Linked DNA regions of Macaca mulatta. The protein of the gene in region 2 binds, or shares a complex with, the protein of the main gene of each other region. Links are inferred from orthologs where the notes say so. Each region holds a gene or a part of one and is shown on either strand. Other genes may lie near its edges. The genes, in order: MED24 and MED12.

The links.
Region 1: MED12 (region 2) and MED24 share a complex: the UniProt entries of both Homo sapiens proteins name them as parts of the mediator complex. The link is inferred for Macaca mulatta from reciprocal best matches to the Homo sapiens genes MED12 and MED24.

Annotation. Positions count from the first base shown.
Region 1 is NC_133421.1:64,407,172-64,416,630, forward strand, and holds the start of MED24 (mediator of RNA polymerase II transcription subunit 24), read right to left. Parts: upstream 6,193-9,459; 5' UTR 6,145-6,192; intron 5,898-6,144; exon of another isoform or gene 5,705-5,897; intron 5,558-5,704; exon of another isoform or gene 4,807-5,557; 5' UTR 4,748-4,806; coding exon 4,618-4,747; intron 4,530-4,617; coding exon 4,447-4,529; intron 1,406-4,446; exon of another isoform or gene 218-1,405; intron 1-217. UniProt on the Homo sapiens protein: Component of the Mediator complex, a coactivator involved in the regulated transcription of nearly all RNA polymerase II-dependent genes.
Region 2 is NC_133426.1:77,594,035-77,602,700, reverse strand, and holds part of MED12 (mediator of RNA polymerase II transcription subunit 12), read right to left. Parts: intron 8,593-8,666; coding exon 8,479-8,592; intron 8,228-8,478; coding exon 8,052-8,227; intron 7,873-8,051; coding exon 7,693-7,872; intron 6,357-7,692; coding exon 6,285-6,356; intron 5,831-6,284; coding exon 5,697-5,830; intron 5,531-5,696; coding exon 5,369-5,530; intron 5,066-5,368; coding exon 4,954-5,065; intron 4,788-4,953; coding exon 4,698-4,787; intron 3,851-4,697; coding exon 3,741-3,850; intron 3,495-3,740; coding exon 3,359-3,494; intron 3,116-3,358; coding exon 2,954-3,115; intron 1,916-2,953; coding exon 1,541-1,915; intron 1,318-1,540; coding exon 1,167-1,317; intron 1,010-1,166; coding exon 804-1,009; intron 641-803; coding exon 563-640; intron 473-562; coding exon 255-472; intron 1-254. UniProt on the Homo sapiens protein: Component of the Mediator complex, a coactivator involved in the regulated transcription of nearly all RNA polymerase II-dependent genes.

The DNA.
Region 1 (9,459 bases), on a different chromosome or scaffold from region 2:
CAGATGGATCACTTGAGGTCAGGAGTTCCAGACCAGTCTGGCCAACATGGTGAAACACTGTCTCTACTGAAAATACAAAAATTAGCTAGGTGTGGTGGTGCACGCCTGTAATCCCAGCTACTCAGGAGGCTAAGGCAGGAGAACTGCTTGAGCCCAGGAGACAGAGGTTGCAGTGAGCCGAGATCGTGCCACTGCACTCCAGCCTGGGGGACAACAGTGAAACTCCATCTCAAAAAAAAAAAAAAAAGAGAGAGAGATACGCATTTAGGTCAGGCACAACCTAAATTACAGGCTGATGCCTATAATCCCAACACTGTTGGAGGCCAAGGTGAGCGGATCACCTGAGGTCAGGAGTTCGAGACCAGCCTGGCCAACATGGTAAAACCCCATCTCTACTAAACCTATAAAAATTAGCTGGGTATGGTGATGCATGCTTGTGGTCCCAGCTACCTGGGAGACCGAAGCAGCAGAATCACTTGAGCCCAGGAGGTGGAGGTCGCAGTGAGGAGAGATCACGCCACCGCACTCCACCCTGGGTGACACAGTAAGACCTTGTCTCAAAAAAAAATATGAGACACACATTCAGTAGAAATTGTACTTCAAGTGCTCATACATGTAGGCCATTATCCTCAGTGAAATAACTCAGAGATAGAAAGTCAAGGAGGTTGCAGTGAGCTGAGATCACGCCATTGCACTCCAGCCTGGGAGACTCCATCTCAATAAAAAAAAGAAAGTCAAATACCACATATTCTCACTGATAAATGGGAGCTACACAATGGGTGCACATACAGAGTGAACTAATAGACACTGGAGAATATAGAAGGTGGGAGTGGGGTGAGGGTTGAAAAATTACTTATTGGGTACAACATTCACTATTGGGGTGATAGGTATACTAAAAGCTCAGATTTCACCACGATGCAATATATGCACATAAGAAATCTGCACTTCTTGGGCCAGGCGCGGTGGCTCAAGCCTGTAATCCTAGCACTTTGGGAGGCTGAGATGGGGGGATCATGAGGTCAGGAGATCGAGACCATCCTGGCTCACACAGTGAAACCCCATCTCTACTAAAAAATACAAAAAACTGGCCAGGCGCGGTGGCTCAAGCCTGTAATCCCAGCACTTTGGGAGGCCGAGGCGGGTGGATCACGAGGTCAGGAGATCGAGACTATCCTGGCTAACACGGTGAAACCCCGTCTCTACTAAAAATACAAAAAAAAAAACTAGCCGGGCGTGGTGGCGGGCGCCTGTAGTCTCAGCTACTCGGGAGGCTGAGGCGGGAGAATGGCATGAACCCGGGAGGTGGAGCTTGCAGTGAGCCGAGATCACGCCACTGCACTCCAGCCTGGGAGACACAGCGAGACTACGTCTCAAAAAAAAAAAAAAAAAAAAAAAAAAAACCAAACTAGCAGGGCGAGGTGGCTGGCACCTGTGGTCCCAGCTACTCGGGAGGCTGAGGCAGGAGAATGGCGTAAACCCAGGAGGCGGAGCTTGCAGTGAGCTGAGATCTGGCCACTGCACTCCAGCCTGGGCAACAGAGCGAGACTCCGTCTCAAAAAAAAAAAAAAAGAAAGAAATCTGCACTTCTGGCTGGGCGTGGTGGCTCACGCCTATAATCTCAGCACTTTGGGAGGCCAAGGAGGGTGAATCACCTGAGGTCAGGAGTTCGAGACCAGCCTGACCAACATGGAGAAACCCAGTCTCTACTAAAAGTATAAAATTAGGCCGGGCGCGGTGGCTCAAGCCTGTAATCCCAGCACTTTGGGAGGCCGAGGCGGGCGGATCACGAGGTCAGGAGATCGAGACCATCCTGGCTAACACGGTGAAACCCCGTCTCTATGAAAAATACAAGAAAAATTAGCCGGGCGAGGTGGCGTGCGCCTGTAGTCCCAGCTACTCGGGAGGCTGAGGCAGGAGAATGGCGTGAACCCGGCGGGGCGGAGCTTGCAGTGAGCTGAGATCCCGCCACTGCACTCCAGCCTGGGGCACAGAGCAAGACTCCGTCTCAAAAAAAAAAAAAAAACGTATAAAATTAGCGGAACGTAGTGGTATGCGCCTGTATTCCCAGCTACTTGGGAGGCTGAGGCAGGAGAATCACTTGAATCTGGGAGGCGGAGGTTGCAGTAAGCCAAGATCGCACCACACTGCACTCTAGCCTGGCGATGGAGCAAGACTCTGCCTCAATCAATTAATCAATCAACCAATAAAAAATAAGGACAGGCGCAGTGGCTCATGCCTGTAATCCCAACACTGGGAAGTCAAGGCAGGTGGATCACCTGAAGTCAAGAGTTCGAGACCAGGCTGGCCAAAACAGTAAAACCCCATCTCTACTAAAAATACAAAAATTATCCAGGTGTAGTGGTGGGCACCTGTAATTCCAGCTACTCAGGAGGCTGAGGTAGGAGAATAGCTTGAACCTGGGAGGTGGAGGTTGCAGTGAGCCGAGATCAAGCCATTGCACTGCAGCCTGGGCAACAAGAGTGAAACTCCATCTCAATAAACAAACAGGCTTTGTGTTTGATGATTTTTCCCAACTGTAAGCTAGAGTGTTCTGAGCACATTTAAGGTAGGTAGATGGCCGGGCATGGTGGCTCACACCTGCAATCCCAGCAATTTGGGAGGCCAAGGTGGGCAGATCACAAGGTCAGGAGTTCGAGACCAGCCTAGCCAATATAATGAAACCCTGTCTCTACTAAAAATATAAAAATTAGCCAGGCATGGTGGCAGGTACCTGCAGTCCCAGCTACTCGGGAGGCTGAGGCAGGAGAATCACCTGAACTCAGGAGACAGAGGTTGCAGTGAGCTGAGGTCACACCATTGCACTCCAGCCTGGGTGATAGAGCAAGACTCTGTCTCAAAAAAGTGGTAGGTAGATGACCTTTGGCAAGTTATGTGTATTAAGTACATTTTCAACTTATGAGTGGTATATCAGCACATCACCCCATTGTAAGTTGAGGAGCATCCGTACTCTATTCTAACCTTTATCATAAACCCATCTAGTGACTGCTTATTTACATGTCTATATTACCCACTAAATTCTCTGTGTACTGGCATCAGATCTTATTCACAGCTATGTCCCCAGGGGCTAGCACTGTCTGGCACATAAAAGCATTCATGAGGCCGGGCGCGGTAGCTCACACCTGTAATCCCAGCACTTTGGAAGGCTGAGGTGGGCAGATCATGAGGTCAGGAGATCGAGACCATCCTGGCTAACACGGTGAAACCCTGTCTCTACTAAAAAAAAAAAAATACAAAAAATCAGCCGGGCGTGGTGGCAGGCGCCTGTAGTCCCAGCTACTCGGGAGTCTGAGGCAGGAGAACCCAGGAGGCGGAGCTTGCAGTGAGCCAAGATCGCACCACTGCACTCCAGTCCGGGTGACAGAGCGAGACTCCATCTCAAAAAAAAAAAAAAAAAAGGCCGGGCGCAGTGGCTCAAGCCTGTAATCCCAGCACTTTGGGAGGCCGAGATGGGCAGATCACGAGGTCAGGAGATCAAGACCATCCTGGCTAACATGGTGAAACCCCGTCTCTACCAAAAAAGACAAAAAACTAGCCGGGCGAGGTGGCGGGCGCCTGTAGTCCCAGCTACCCGGGAGGCTGAGGCAAGAGAATGGCGGGAACCCGGGAGGCGGAGCTTGCAGTGAGCTGAGATCCGGCCACTACACTCCAGCCTGGGCGACAGAGCAAGACTCCGTCTCAAAAAAAAAAAAAAAAAAAAATTCATGAGTATTTGTTGATAGAACAAGTGAATGTAATCCTATTTCTCTTTTGGTGGTTGTTGTTTTTAAGAGATGGAGTCTTGTTCTGTTGCCCAGGCTGGAGTGCAGTGGCACAATCAGTGCTCACTGTAGCCTCGAACTTCTGGGCTCAAGCAATCCTCCCACCTCCGCTTTCTGAGTAGGCGGGGCCACAGGCCTGTGCTACCTGCTACTACTCCCAGTAGAATAAGTGAATATAATATTCATCACAACAAATGAAGTATTATTATTTTTATGAGAACACTGAAACTCAGTGAAATGATCTGTTCAAACAAATTCATCTAGAAAGCGTAAGCTGACAATTGTAAAACTGCACCCCAAATTTTGTTTTGTTTGTTTCCTGAGACAGGGTCTCACTCTGTTGCTCTGGCTGGAGTGCAGTGGCAGGATCATGGCTCACTGTAGCCTTGACCTCCCAGGGCTTAGGTGATCCTCCCACCTCAGCCTTCCAAGTAGCTGGGACTACAGGGGCACCACCACGAAGGGCTAATTCTTTGTATTTTGGGGTAGAGACTGGGTTTTGCCATGTTACCCAGGCTGGTCTCAAACTCCTGGGCTCAAGCAATCTGCCTGCTTCAGCCTCCCACAATGCTGGGATTACAGTCATGAATCACTGGGGTCCAAATGCACTTCAAGTTTTTTATCCCCAAAACTCTCACTTCTTGGTGGGGGTTTTGGGGGAGCTTACCTGGGAACTAATGGCATACTTCAGGTAGGACAAGATGAGAGGATTGGGGGATGGTCCAATCATGGCCTGCTCTAGTAATGCATCTGCAAGAGGAATAACAAAACACGATTGAGTGATTACAACTTCTCTGGGTTTATCCCTCCCATCTTTCTTTCCCAGTTCACTTGAGACCTGCCAGGTTGAGAATGTCCCAGGTGGCTCCTTTAGGAAAGAATTTCTTCATGTTGATTGCCCACTGGTAGTCACTCCAACGTTCCTTCCAGGCTTGCAAAATGGCTTGCTTCAGGTTGACTACCTTCATGATTTCACTCTGAGCAGGTGGCAGCTGTGACGGCCAACTTTGAGGTGAAAGAAGTGGATCTAAAGAAAAGGACACGGCCGGGCGTGGTGGCTCAAGCCTGTAATCCCAGCACTTTGGGAGGCCGAGACGGGCGGATCACGAGGTCAGGAGATCGAGACCATCCTGGCTAACACGGTGAAACCCCGTCTCTACTAAAAAATACAAAAAACTAGCCGGGCGAGGTGGCGGGCGCCTGTAGTCCCAGCTACTCGGGAGGCTGAGGCAGGAAAATGGCGGGAACCCGGGAGGCGGAGCTTGCAGTGAGCTGAGATCCGGCCACAGCACTCCAGCCTGGGCGACAGAGCGAGACTCTGTCTCAAAAAAAAAAAAAAAAAAAAAAAAAAAAAAGAAAAGGACACGATGTTCGAAGGAGAACCGGGGAAGGCAGAATTAAATAGAAAGAAGATGCGGTGGCCGGGCGCGGTGGCTCAAGCCTGTAATCCCAGCACTTTGGGAGGCCGAGATGGGCGGATCACGAGATCAGGAGATCGAGACCATCCTGACTAACACGGTGAAACCCCGTCTCTACTAAAAATACAAAACTTAGCCGGGCGCGGTGGCGGGCGCCTGTAGTCCCAGCTACTCGGGAGGCTGAGGCAGGAGAATGGCGTAAACCCGGGAGGTGGAGCTTGCAGTGAGCTGAGATCCGGCCACTGCACCCCAGCCTGGGCGGCAGAGCGAGACTCCGCCTCAAAACAAAAAACAAACAAACAAAAAAAAAGAAGATGCGGTAAGATTTAAGCTAGGCAGCGGAATTTGAAAGAAAAAGAGCTAAAGAGATAAGGTAAGATCCTGTCAGGCTTTCTCCTCCTGAACCGCCCTTCCTTAAACTGGGGCACTAAGAAGAAAGTATAGGCCGAGCGCAGTGGCTCGCACCTGTAATCCCAGCACTTTGGGAGGCCAAGGCGGGCGGATCACCTGAGGTCGGGAGTTTGAGATCAGTCTGACCAACATGGAGAAACCTCGTCTCTACTAAAAATACGAAATTAGCCGGGCTTGGTGGCGCATGCCTGTAATCCCAGCTACTCGGGAGGCTGAAGCAGGAGAATCGCTTGAACCCGGGAGGCGGAGGTTGATGGGGTGGGCCGAGATCGCGCCATTGCACTCCAGCCTGGGCAACAAGGACAAAACTTTGTCTCTCAAATAAATAAATATCAAAGGGACTAATAGAGTAAAGAGGGCATCAAGGAGTTAAGCCAGTCCTCGTTGCCTAATTACGCCCTTAGCTCTAAATGCGTCCTTCGGTCACCACTACTCCAAGTCCAGATTTGCTCCCTCATTTCCTCCACCTTCTCCAGCCCTGTAACTATACCTCCCAATTTCCTTTTCATCCACCACCTCCCCAAATTTAAGCCTACCGCACAATCCACTTCTAGGTCGTAGGCATCGCCATTTTGGCACTTGTCAAGAAGTTCACTTTCTATTGGCTGGGAGTAACAAACGCAAACCAATAGAGATGCAGCAAGGAACGTCCCGCTGTCTTCTGGGAATGGTAGTTTTTTGGACTGAAACCGTATTTGTCTGCGCTGGCGAAGAAACTAAGAGACTAGTCTAGTCGGCGCGCATTGTTCCTCTCCTTTAAGGGAGGACATCCAGGAGCTGAGACACTACAGAGACTCAGGGACTCGAGGAAGCTCGAAAGGTCGCTCACAACCCGGCGTCGCCCACGACGTCACTGTCGACCGGCCTTCTCCATCATATTCCGACACCCTTTCTTTCGTTAGCCCCTAGTTAATAGGTGCGGCAAGGGTGTGGCGTTCAGCAATACGGCCTTTCTCTTTTCCTGGGCTCTTTCTTTTCTCCTAAACTCCTGGGGCTTCCAGAGCTATTCTCATTTCCACACCTATATTCTAAAAGCGACACTAAGGTGCCTTACTTGCACACATATCACCACCCCCGAATCTGACAGTCCTATCAGCATCTCCAAGCCCTCCAAACAGCTTGGATACAAGGGAAAGTAAAGGAGAAACTAAGGTGAAGGTGATCAAAATCAAAGGAATTCTGAGAAACTGTCACAGCTAAGAGGGCTAAGGAAACCTGATGACTAAATGTAATGTGATTTTCTGAATGCAATCATGGAAGAGAAAAAGAATACTGGGTAAAAACTAAGGAAATCTAAATAAAGCATGGACTTTAATTAATAATAATGTATCAGTATTAGTTCATTAGTTGTTACAAATGCATCATACTAATGCTAAGATGTTAATTAAAAGAGAAATTGGGTGCAGAATATGTGGGGACCCTCTATTACCTTCCATTTTTTTCCTGTAAATTAAAAACTATTTTCTTAAGTTTCTTGTTGTTGTTGTTGTTGTTGTTTAAATCTTGCTTATCCCAAAGATCCATAAATAATAATATCCAATTATTATGCCCAGGGCCTTGGCCATAGCCTTTCCTTCCCCTAGTGAGAAAGCCAAAAGCAAATGTTACCCACCTCTGGCTCCAATGTCTGAGCCTTCTTATGCATAGCCCTCATCCCTCCCCATACTATGGACTGGTCATCCCTAACATTTACAACCAGGAATAAGAGTAAATTACTCGAGAGGCTGAGGCAGGAGGATCACTTGAGCTCAGGAGTTCAAATCCAGCCTGGGCAACATAATGAGACTCTCAGCTCTACCAAAAAAATAAATAAATAAACATGGAGGCCTTTAGCCAGGGCCCAATATCCTAGTTCACAAGTTCAAGCTCAATCCGTATTCCCCAAAAACGATTCTTTTTTTTTCCTTTTTTTTTTTTTTTTTTTTTTGAGCTCACTGCAATCTCAGCTCACCGCAACCTCTGCCTCCCAGGTTCAAGCGATTCTTCTGCCTCAGCCTCCCAAGTAGCTGGAATTACAGGCGTGTACCACCACGTCAGGCTAATTTTTGTATTTTTAGTAGAGATGGGGTTTCACCATGTTGGTCAGGCTGGTCTCAAAATCCTGACCTCAGGTGATCCACCCACCTCAGCCTTCCAGAGTGCTGGGATTATAGGCATGAGCCACCGTGCCCAGCCTTCGACAACCATTCTTTGCTCACCCTTTGAGTGGCAAAATCAGTCCTTGGGGGGATAAATCTGGAAGAGCAGCCCATTTAAGGCTCTGGAAGTAAAACTGGCCATTTGGGCAGAGAATTACAGCACCCTGGGTGTCTGGAGCACGGTCTAGACAGGGAGTCAAGGACTTCTGTTCCAAAGGGGAGAGTGTGGCTGAAGGAGGGTCAGATCATGTCCCTCTGCGGTTGGTACTGCCTATGGCTTTTCTTCCTCCCCATACATTCAATCCACACCCCTCCCTTAGGCTCCCTTTGTGCCTGCCCAAGGGACACCACTGGGGAATAGTGTGTATACAAAACAGCTGCCAAATATATGTTGCCAAAGCTTCTAAAGCAGGAAGGAGGGAGAATATGGATTCCTCACCTCACCTTCCATATGGCCCCCGGCCACTCCACTCATACTTGAGACTGCCACAAACCCTGCTTCTCCTCAGTTTCTCATGTATCTGACTTCCCCTCTTCTCCCAGCCCCTCACTCTACCTTTGCCTGCTCCCCTGCTGTCATTCTGTGCTTGTTGCCGCATCCTAAGGCCCTCCACCTGGAGCCATTCCTGGATCATCCTGGAGCCCCTGTCACATACCTTAGAGCCCAAACTGCTTCTCTTGGAGAGAAGCTGTCAACTGTGTGTCCAGTCCACACAGGACTGGGAACTATTTGGGCCCTGAGGATGGTGATATTTTGAGCTCAAACTATTCCCTCTGGCAGGGAGCCTGGCAGATTTCTAGGGAGGTGCCTCCTCCCCACTTCGCAGTGACAGGGAGGCGGCTTTTGTAGTCAGGCCATCTGCCTTCTCTGTCTCCCCACCTCCCACCAGCAGCCCTTTCTCTAGGCTTGGCAAGGTTTCCCCAAAGGCTGGACTCCTATGTACAAGGGCTCCCTTAGTTCTGGGCAAGGACCATTTTTAATTTATCCCTTTTGACCTCCCTGCCTCTCCAGTCTGTAAACATCAGAGGCAACCTTTCCTATACCACCTCTTCCTTCCACACCACAATATCTTCCTAGGGACCCCCTTGGGCTCTCTGGCTCACTGCAAGCACAGGACTCCATGATAATCCTCCAAAGGGTGAAGAGAGATGCTAACATTTCCTTTGGGTGTACGAATAAATAGCCCCCCAGCCAGGCGCAGTAGCTCACGCCTGTAATCCCAGCACTTAGGGAGGCCAAGGCAGGCAGATCACCTGGGGTTGGGAGTTCAAGACCAGCCTGACCAACATGGAGAAACTGTATCTACTAAAAATACAAAATTAGCCGGGCATGGTGGCGCATGCCTGTAATCCCAGCTGCTCGGGAGGTGGAGGTAGGAGAATTGCTTGAACCCAGGAGGTAGGAGAATTGCTTGAACCCAGGAGGCAGAAGTTGCTGTAAGCCGAGATTGCACCATTGCACTCCAACCTGGGCAACAAGAGCGAAATTCTGTCTTAAAAAAAAAAAAAAATAGCCCCCCCAGCCCATCTCAAAGCCCCGTTCTACTTACCCCACTTTCTTTTGCTGTTCATTTCCTCTCAACAGGGACAGGGGCTGAGCTCCCACCTCTGCCCTCCTAGTCCCGAGCCCCAACCTCTTTGTTCATCTTGTTGGCTACCTTGGCTAAAGAGAGAAGAGGGGCAGGTGGAAGTCAACCAGTCAGAGTGACATGG
Region 2 (8,666 bases):
TTCCATGAGTCAGATAAACAATTTCCCCTCTCTGGGCCTCAAAGAACTGTTAAGGAAGTACACATGAAACTATTGGTCTCCAGGGTCCCTTCCAGCTCGAGACTTCTGTGGTTATGGGCTATGTGGCCAGATAAGTATTCTTGACGTCTCCAAAAGTTCTGACCAGTCCCATCACCTTCAGGCACGGGCTTTCCCAAGTCAAATGCTCCCTTATACCTCTGCATCTCTTCCTAGCTCACCACTACTTTGGGTACCTTTGAGTGGAGGTCAGTCCATGTCCATAGGTGGGGGCCTGCTGGTGCACATAGCCACTGGGCCGCTGTTGCAGGTGGCGGGTAGGATCTACAAGAGTAGGATTGGTAGAAGGGTGGGTGCTCTGGTAAGGCTGGCTGGAGTAGCTGGGGGGCACCATGGTACCTGCAGGGCCTGTGTGTTGCTGCAATCCCACATGAGAAACATAAGGAGTATAGCCCTGGAGGGAAGGAGGAGAGAGGGAATCAGGGCTGAGAGTATGCAAAGCAGCTTGCCTCATCCCCCGAGTCTCACAATCCCAGGCTCTTACCTGGGAAGTCTGCAAACCGTAGGAAGAGCTGGGAGTCATCTGATGGACAGATGACTGTCCCAACATGCCCTGACTCTGCTAAAGGGAGAGAAGAGAACAACTCAAACTCAGGAAATGCTTGCTGCCATCTCATCTCTTGTGTCTCCTGCTCTGAGTGTCCTTGTGAAGATCCCGTGTCTCCTCAGTCCTGTGACCCTCAAAAGCCCCTCTCCCTGACAGCCCTCCCTACTGCCCCTCTCACTATCTTTGCCTGGAGCTGTTGGCGAAGGCGCTGTCCTTGGGGCACCGCAGGTTGCTGCTGCCGGTACACAGAGGTCTTATAAGAGGAGGGTTCTAGGCCCATGACGCCAGTCATGGTTGTGGGCAGCACTCCAGGGTAAGTCGGTCGGGTGGGCAGCTTCTGCATTGGTAAGCGCACAGGGCGGTACGGGTCCACACGAGGGCCACCTGGAAAGGAGAGTGGGCTGACCTCTAGGTTCCTCATCCCTCTGTCTCTTGCTCAGTGTCCTTGACATCCATAGCTCCTCAGGGGAACGGCATCACCCTTTGGGCAGGGGGAGTATACACCTAGGTCCCTCCAGCATTCCTAGTGGCTGGCACTCACCTGCAGGTAGTGGCTGGTTCTGGGTGTACAGGCCTATGGAGCCTTGCCTGTAATTAAGGTGGGTTATGGAACCAGGGTTTGGGTGGTGCAGGAGGTCTGGAGGCACTGTCACACCATAAGGGCCGCTCCGACCCGGGCCCATTCCATAGTCCTGTGTGAGTGACAGAAGAAGAGGGTGAGTGGGTTGTAGCTGAGTGGGGTCGGGGAGCTGGGGGAGAATGAGGTAAAGAGGAGCTGGATTTGTACATGGTTAATTTTTATTATGATTCTAATGGCACCCCTTCCTTATGCGCCCCCACCCCTCCCACAAACCAGAAACTGGAGCGTCATGAAGTAAGAGGCTGTGGGAGAACTGTCACGGGGGAGACGCTCACCTCTGTCTTGGCAGCTGGCTGGCTGCGTTTCTTGCCCTTGGTGGACTTCTTCTTGCGTTCCTCAGTACTGGGTGGAGCAGCCCCCGGTTTGTCAGTTTTGGGGGGCTCTGGAGCCTTTTTCTCAGGCTCTAGCAGGGTAGGAGCAGGGGGCTCCTCATCTTCTGGGGGCAGTGGCAGCGGCTCCAGGTAATAGGCGCGGGGCCGGGGCCTCAGGTGTGTGTGGTAGAGCAGCAACCGCTGCTGCTCCTCTCCTCGAGCCACTCGCCGGTCCACCCGCACTGTTCCAAACCAGCCCCAAGACAGCGGTGCTGACGGCTTCAACCCCTCAAAAAGATCCCAGGGCGAGATCTTCTGTTTGGTGGAAACCTGTAGACCCTGCTCCAGAAAATGAAAAACAATAAGCTGTTGGGACTTAGAAAACACAAGAGAGACCGCAAGCACTTGTAGGAGTGGGTAGAAAGTCATAGGTAGATTCAAGAGAGATGGTAAGAAACAGACAGACACGGATACACACATACATGCAGAAGAGTTATGCGGGGAGAGAGTGAAGGGTGGGGGACAGGGAGAGGTATGGAGACGCAAGATGAAGCCAGCCAGGACCAGGAGAGGAGACGAATGAACGGGGCGGGCGGCGGGCGTGTGGGGAGAGAAGCCGAGACCGGGAGAGAAAGGGGTTGGGGAGAAAGCCAGAGAGGAAGTGGGGAGGGAGAGGGATTGACATTCAGAGGCAGACAGAAAAAGGAAGGCAGAGAAAGAGAGAGAGGAAGGCAGGGAGAGATTCTGCCTTTAGGCAGGCAGAGAAAGACAGAGTCAGAGAGGGAGAGAGAAACAGGAAGAGAGACAAAAAGGTGGAGAGACAAAGAAAGGCAAACGAGTCAGACACGGAGAGAGACAGAGACAGAGGAAAAGAGACAGATGGACTAGGAAGACAGATGAAGAGAATGTATATATGAAGGAGTTAGACTTTGGGTTTTAAACTATACACAATAATTATGGTTACTCAACAAATACGCAACTGACAGAGAGGGAAAAGATAAAACTGTGCCGAGATGGGTGGGTGTAGGGAGAGAAACACAGAAATAAAAGAGATACAGGCTGTCGGCCAGATAGATGGGTGGGGTAGGACATGAGGCAGGTGGAGCAGAGGAAAGAGGAGGTTAGGGTATTGAGAAATGGGTGGTATGTTAAAAGGTGAGGGCAGGGTGAAGGAAAGAGGGTGGGACTCCAGAGATGGAGATGAAATGTAAGGAAAGTTAAGTGATTTGCTGAAAACCCCCGAGATGGTGTTCACTGGCAGAGACTGGATGGGCTCCTGAATCTGATGAGTCTGTTGGAGCTACAAAGCTGATGCAGGGAAAGTTCTTGCCCAAAGGGGAAAAAAGGCAAGGGACATGGGCAGACAATGGAACATGCCTCCTTCTTGAAGATGGAATCGAAGCCAGCAATCTTGTTGCCCTTGGTATCAATAAGGGAGCCCTGTGGCTCACACGTGATGACATCTCGGGTCTGCTTGGGCAGTGGCAGCAGCTGGCGAACCTTTTCCAGACTGTCTGACTGGCGTTCCCCCAACTCCTTCTGCAGGCACAGGAAGATGGGACAAGAGTTCAGAGATACAGAAAACAGGGATGGGAAGTCTCAGGGGACAGCACAGAACTTGGCACAGAGAAGACCCCCACTCAGTAAATGCTCATGGCATGAGTAACAAAGAAAAGATAGACATGAGAAGGAAAGGCAGAGGGCTCAAGCCAGAAGCAAGTTCCTGAGGCTGGACAGCAGATTCCGGTTCCCGCAATCCTTGTCCCTGCCTCCTCTGCTCACCTGTAGCTTCTTTGCCAGGTTCATGTATGCACGCTTGTTTTCCTCCATGCTACCTTGGGAGATGCTAGACATGTCTGCAGCCAATGTCCCATTGATGAGCACGCTCAGCATGTCCAACACAGTAGTGAAGAGCTCACTGAGACAGGAAGCCAGAGAGAAAACCAGAGAAGAAAGAGGTGAAGATAGAAAAAGGCCTCAGCAGAGGACACAAACAGGGAGAGGTGCTTAATATGTCATCCCGAGGGCACCAAAACCATATGGGGAGCCCAGGGCCATGGAGTCCACAGTAACAGCCATACCAATCTCAGTGGGTGCACCTGACGTGGGAGTAAGGGGAGCCTCTTGGGTATGAAACTGCAGGGAGCAGGTGGGGATGCTTTACTTGTTGGACTGCATGTCGACAGTGCCGCTGATGATGATCTCCAGGAGGAGCATGGCCCACTCCGTGGTCTGCTGGGTGCTGCGCTGCACCGTGTCAAACATGCCCCCAACCTGCCAGGGCCACAACAAGTCAGTCAGATGGCTCAGGGACAAGGCCAGAGTTTAAGGAAAGCTTAGTTCAAATCTGAGTTGGGACGCCTGAGTTCATGCTTGAGTTGAACCTATGATTTACTATATGATCTCGAGACAATGAGGGAATTCTTGACATCTCTGGGCCTCTGTTTCCATACTTAGAAAGTGATGGGAGTTGGACTGAATGATTTCCAGGATTCCATTCAACATTCTACAATGGGTTTCCAGTGCTTCTAGGGCCCAGTCAGAATCTAGGATACTGAGGCAGAGTCCCTGCAAGGATCCAGGGTACATAATCTATTGGACCATGACCACAGTGATACAGCCCCCTTAACCACTTTCAGTCCCTGCATTCTTTCAGAGAACACGGTTAATACTTCAAGACTCAGGCCGGGCACGGTGGCTCATGCCTATAATCTCAGCACTTTGGGAGGCTGAGATGGACGGATCATTTGAAGTCAAGAGTTCAAGACCAGCCTGGCCAGCATGGTGAAACCCCATCTCTATGAAAAATACAAAAATTAGCCAGGTGTGGTGGCGCACACCTGTAGTCCCAGCTACTCAGGAAGTTGAGACTTGAGAATCACTTGAACCCGGGAGGTGGAGGTTGCAGTGAGCTGAGATGGTGCCACTGCACTCCAGCTTGGGTGACAGAGCGAGACTCCGACTCCAAAAACAAAACAAAACAAAACAAAACAAAAAAAACTTCAAGACTCAGAATAACCTGGGGCTTCTATCCTTACCCCCATTCTCCCCAACCTGAGGCTTTTGCGCTCTGCATTTCTAGCCCTACCCTCTTCCTTCTTTCCCTAGCTGGCCTTCTCACCAGGTTGAGCCGCAGTTTGAGTGCCTCATGCATAAGCTGCTTTGGTTTGCAATCATCTAAGTACTGGTCATCTCGCCAATTATTCACAATCTAGAATAGAAACAAATAAAATATGCAGTTCAGGGATCTTCGTGTTTCCATCTCACAACAGCCAATATGTTTATCAGAAAGTACTGAAGTTTCCAAGTACAGAGTAACCCCTTAGGTGCATCCTTCCCTGCCCTCCTGCCCACCTCCATGGCCCAGAGATCCGTACCTGGTGCACCTGGCTGTAGAGGGAGGTAAGGAGTCCCTCGCGTTGTTCATCCTGCCCTTTCAGACATGTTAGTACCAGTGATAAGAAGGGCTGCTGGCTCAACAGGGACATGCTAGAGACAAGAGAGAGAAGAGAAGAGAAGAGAAGAGAAGAGAAGAGAAGAGAAGAGAAGAGAAGAAGAGGAGAGGAGAGAAGAGGAGAAAAGGGAGACTGTGGGTTGGGAATCAACTTCCAACCTCATTCTCCAGACTCTACTCTCCTAAGACCTAGCCTCTTGCTCAGCCATGCCCACTCTTATCCTCTGATTTTCCACTTTCCTATGATGCTTCTCCTTAGCCCCAATTTTATTCTTCCCCAGGCCTGCCTTTTCTCCTTTCTACCTCTCAATCTTGGTCCACTCCCTAAGCCCCTTTACCTCTTCTGCTTTTGTCGATCACGTTCTTTGCGTGAAGAGGAACCCAGGTGCTGACCCTTCTCCAATTCCTCCCCAGCAGCCTTTAACACATGTCCCTGGACTGAGGTGGGCAGTTTAGCAATAAGGGGGGCCACCAGCCATACACCAGAGCGCTCTAGAGAGCTGGAGAACAGAGGACACAGGGTCACAGGGGAGCCAGGCAAGGCTGGAACAATCCATCCTCTCCTTTCCCTGATGGACATGCTGGTATCTCCACGCATCTGACATCACTCATGCTACCAGCAGAGAAATTCCTAAGGGGATGGGTCCTAACATGTTTCTATCCGACCTGAGCACAGGCTTGGTCTTGCTGCTGCTGGGCATGTTGCTTGCAGTACTTCCAGAAGATGACCCTGTCTCTGCTGACTGTTGGAAAACCTCGATTGTGGCCTTGGCAATGTTCTCCAAGAGGGAGTTCATCTCCTGGGGAGGATGAAAGGCACAGAAGTGCTAAAATAGGTAGCTAAGGGTGAAGGAAAGCAGATGGTAGGAGAGATGGGAGATGAGGGAGAAGGACAGCACTGGCGGAGGTTGATGGGGAGACAGGAACCCAACTCTGTTGGGACTCATGTCCTCTAGTACCTCCGTATTTCTCCAATTCCTCATTGTCTTCTCCTTTACATACCTCCTTACATCTATGGCCAGATAAACAGGCTCCACCACCACCACCACCAAGCTTCCCCACAGCTCAGAGCTCCAACACTCTCAACCCATTTCCCTTATCATCAGCTCCACTTGTTCACCATTTTCCCATCCCCTCTTATCTCTCAGCTCAAGAGCCCAAGGGTAGGATCTAGGTTCTTCTGTGGTGGACCGCCTCCCTGACACATGGAGCTGAACGTGAACACAGGAAAGGGAGGGTCCAGGCACTACTCACATTGTTAGGGGTCTGCTTGATCATGAGCTGCAGCTCCAGGGAAGACTGGCGCATGGTCCACTGGTCCAAGTTCTGTGATAGAGGCCCCACACCCAGGCTAGTAATCATCGTGTTACCCCCAGCTACCCACCAATCTGAGGCCAATTCCTGTTCTCCTGCAACATTGAATCACAGACTCCTGGAGGTCTGAAAGGGACCTCTATGTCCCCATCTTTAAGAAAGACTACATTTAGGGAGGCTGAGGCAGGCGGATCACCTGAGGTTAGGAGTTCGAGATCAGCCTGGCCAACATGGCAAAACCCCATCTCTACTAAAAATACAAAAATTAGCCGGGCGTGGTGGTGGGCGCCTGTAATCCCAGTTACTCAGGAGGCTGAGGCAGGACAATCGCTTGAACTTGGGAGGCAGAGGTTGCAGTGAGCTGAGATCGCGCCACTGCACTCCAGCCTGGGTGACAAGAGCAAGACTCCGTCTCAAAAAAAAAAAAAAAAAAAAAGACTACATTTAAATAGTCCAAACTAGTTGAAAATCTTTCCAATTTTTAAAACAGTTCAGGAAAGATTTCACATCTTTCCCATCCCTTCGTATCAGGAAGTTCTGCTTAATGCTTAACCTTGAAATCCTTGATGTTAAAGTCGAAGCCTGCTTCTCTCGTTTTAGACCAACTGCTCAAAGTCCCTGACAGGACCTTTATAAGACAATCTCTCAAAGTCCTATAGAGACCAGAAGGCTACTGTTAGCTAATCTCTCTTCGACACTGTCTCTCCTGGGCTGAAGAGACCTTATTCCTTTAGCTTTTCCTCAATGGCTTCATTTTTCCACTCTCTGGTCATCTGAAGGTGTGAGGCAATGTGAAGTGGAAAGTGCACAGACATGTCTGGGTTCACATATTGACTCTAAACTTATCAGCTATGTGACCTTAGACAAGTTACTTAACCTCTTCAAGCCTCAGTTTCCTCATCGGTCAAACAGGGAGGCTCATCTACTTCATAGGGTCATAAAGATTAAATGAGGAAATGTGTGCAGAGTACCTAGCACAGTACCTGGCACAAAACACATGCTCAGCAAGTAGTAGCCATTACTATTCAGTTCTGAGCCATGGCCAAAATGCCAAATATACAAGGCCCACGCCTAGGCCTCCCAGATGCTATGCTTCCCATTGATAAGCTAGATTCATTCCCGATAGCTATGCCCTCACCTAATACTCTTACACTGGAGTCTAGACCCTATTGGACTTACTCCTCAGCCCATGCTGGAGCCGTGTTTCTCTCGCTACCTCTCCCCTCCACTATATCCTTGTCTGTCTTCCTCTCTACTTAACTCCCCCTCTCCTTTTCTCAAGGTTCCTATTGTTTCTCCCCAGATTGGGCCCACTACTTCCTCTGCGGCCCCCACAGCCTTGGCCTACCTGGAGAATGCGCTTTATGCGCTGCCGCTGGGGGTTTTCCCCATCCTCATTGTCCAGCAGTCGATGTGGGTAGCAGATGAGCTGCATGAGGCGCTGCGCCTGGGCACTACTCAACACTGGGTCTTGCAGGTCATTGCTGTCCTCACACAGCGACTTAAGGCAACGTTCTCCTACCCATTCCTGAGGAAGCTGACAATCAGGGACTGGGAGCAACCAGTGAGGGGGTTAGGAATATGGGGGATGGGCTGGAGTTGGTAAGGAACACAATGTATAGTAGGGAGGTGGTGTGATCATGGGCTGGAAACAGGACTGTATTACACAGAGGCATTTAGGAGGTGTGAGAGGAAGGTGAGACTGACCTGTTGGCAGATGCTGCGCAGCACGTACTTGGCATAGACATCCAGACTGGCTGTCTCCACAGAGATGTTGCGGCCACCCTGCCTCCGACCACCACTGCCACCTCCTCCCTCCTCCTCTGGAAGTTCTTCTGTTCCTCCTGTCACAGTGAAGCCTGAACCTTTCAGTTCCGCATCCCCTGTGGTTCACGGGTGGGAGATAGGGAGGGCAGAGTGAGATTGGAACACTGTGTGGAGACCCACCCTGGGCCCACAGAGGCAGAAACACCCCAAATCCTGCCCTATGGGACAGAAATATACTTCTCTCCCTCCCCTCCTCCCGAAAGGTCAGAGAGACCACCTTCAGAAGGGAGAAAGACTGTCCCTTGTAGTTTAGCTGGCACTCCACCCTATACACACTTCTGGCACCACTCCCTTCCTACCCCCGTACCAAGTACAAACACAGCCTTGAGAACAGCAAACACAGCTCCATCCACGATGCGGTTCTGGGAGGCAGCCAGCAGGTGGCGGTCACAGGAGGAGCGGATTCCTACTGTAGGCTTGTCTGGGGAAGGCGATGAAGTCAGGGGAAGCAAAAGTGGAATCCATGGAGGCAGGGGAACCACACTTTCTACTGTT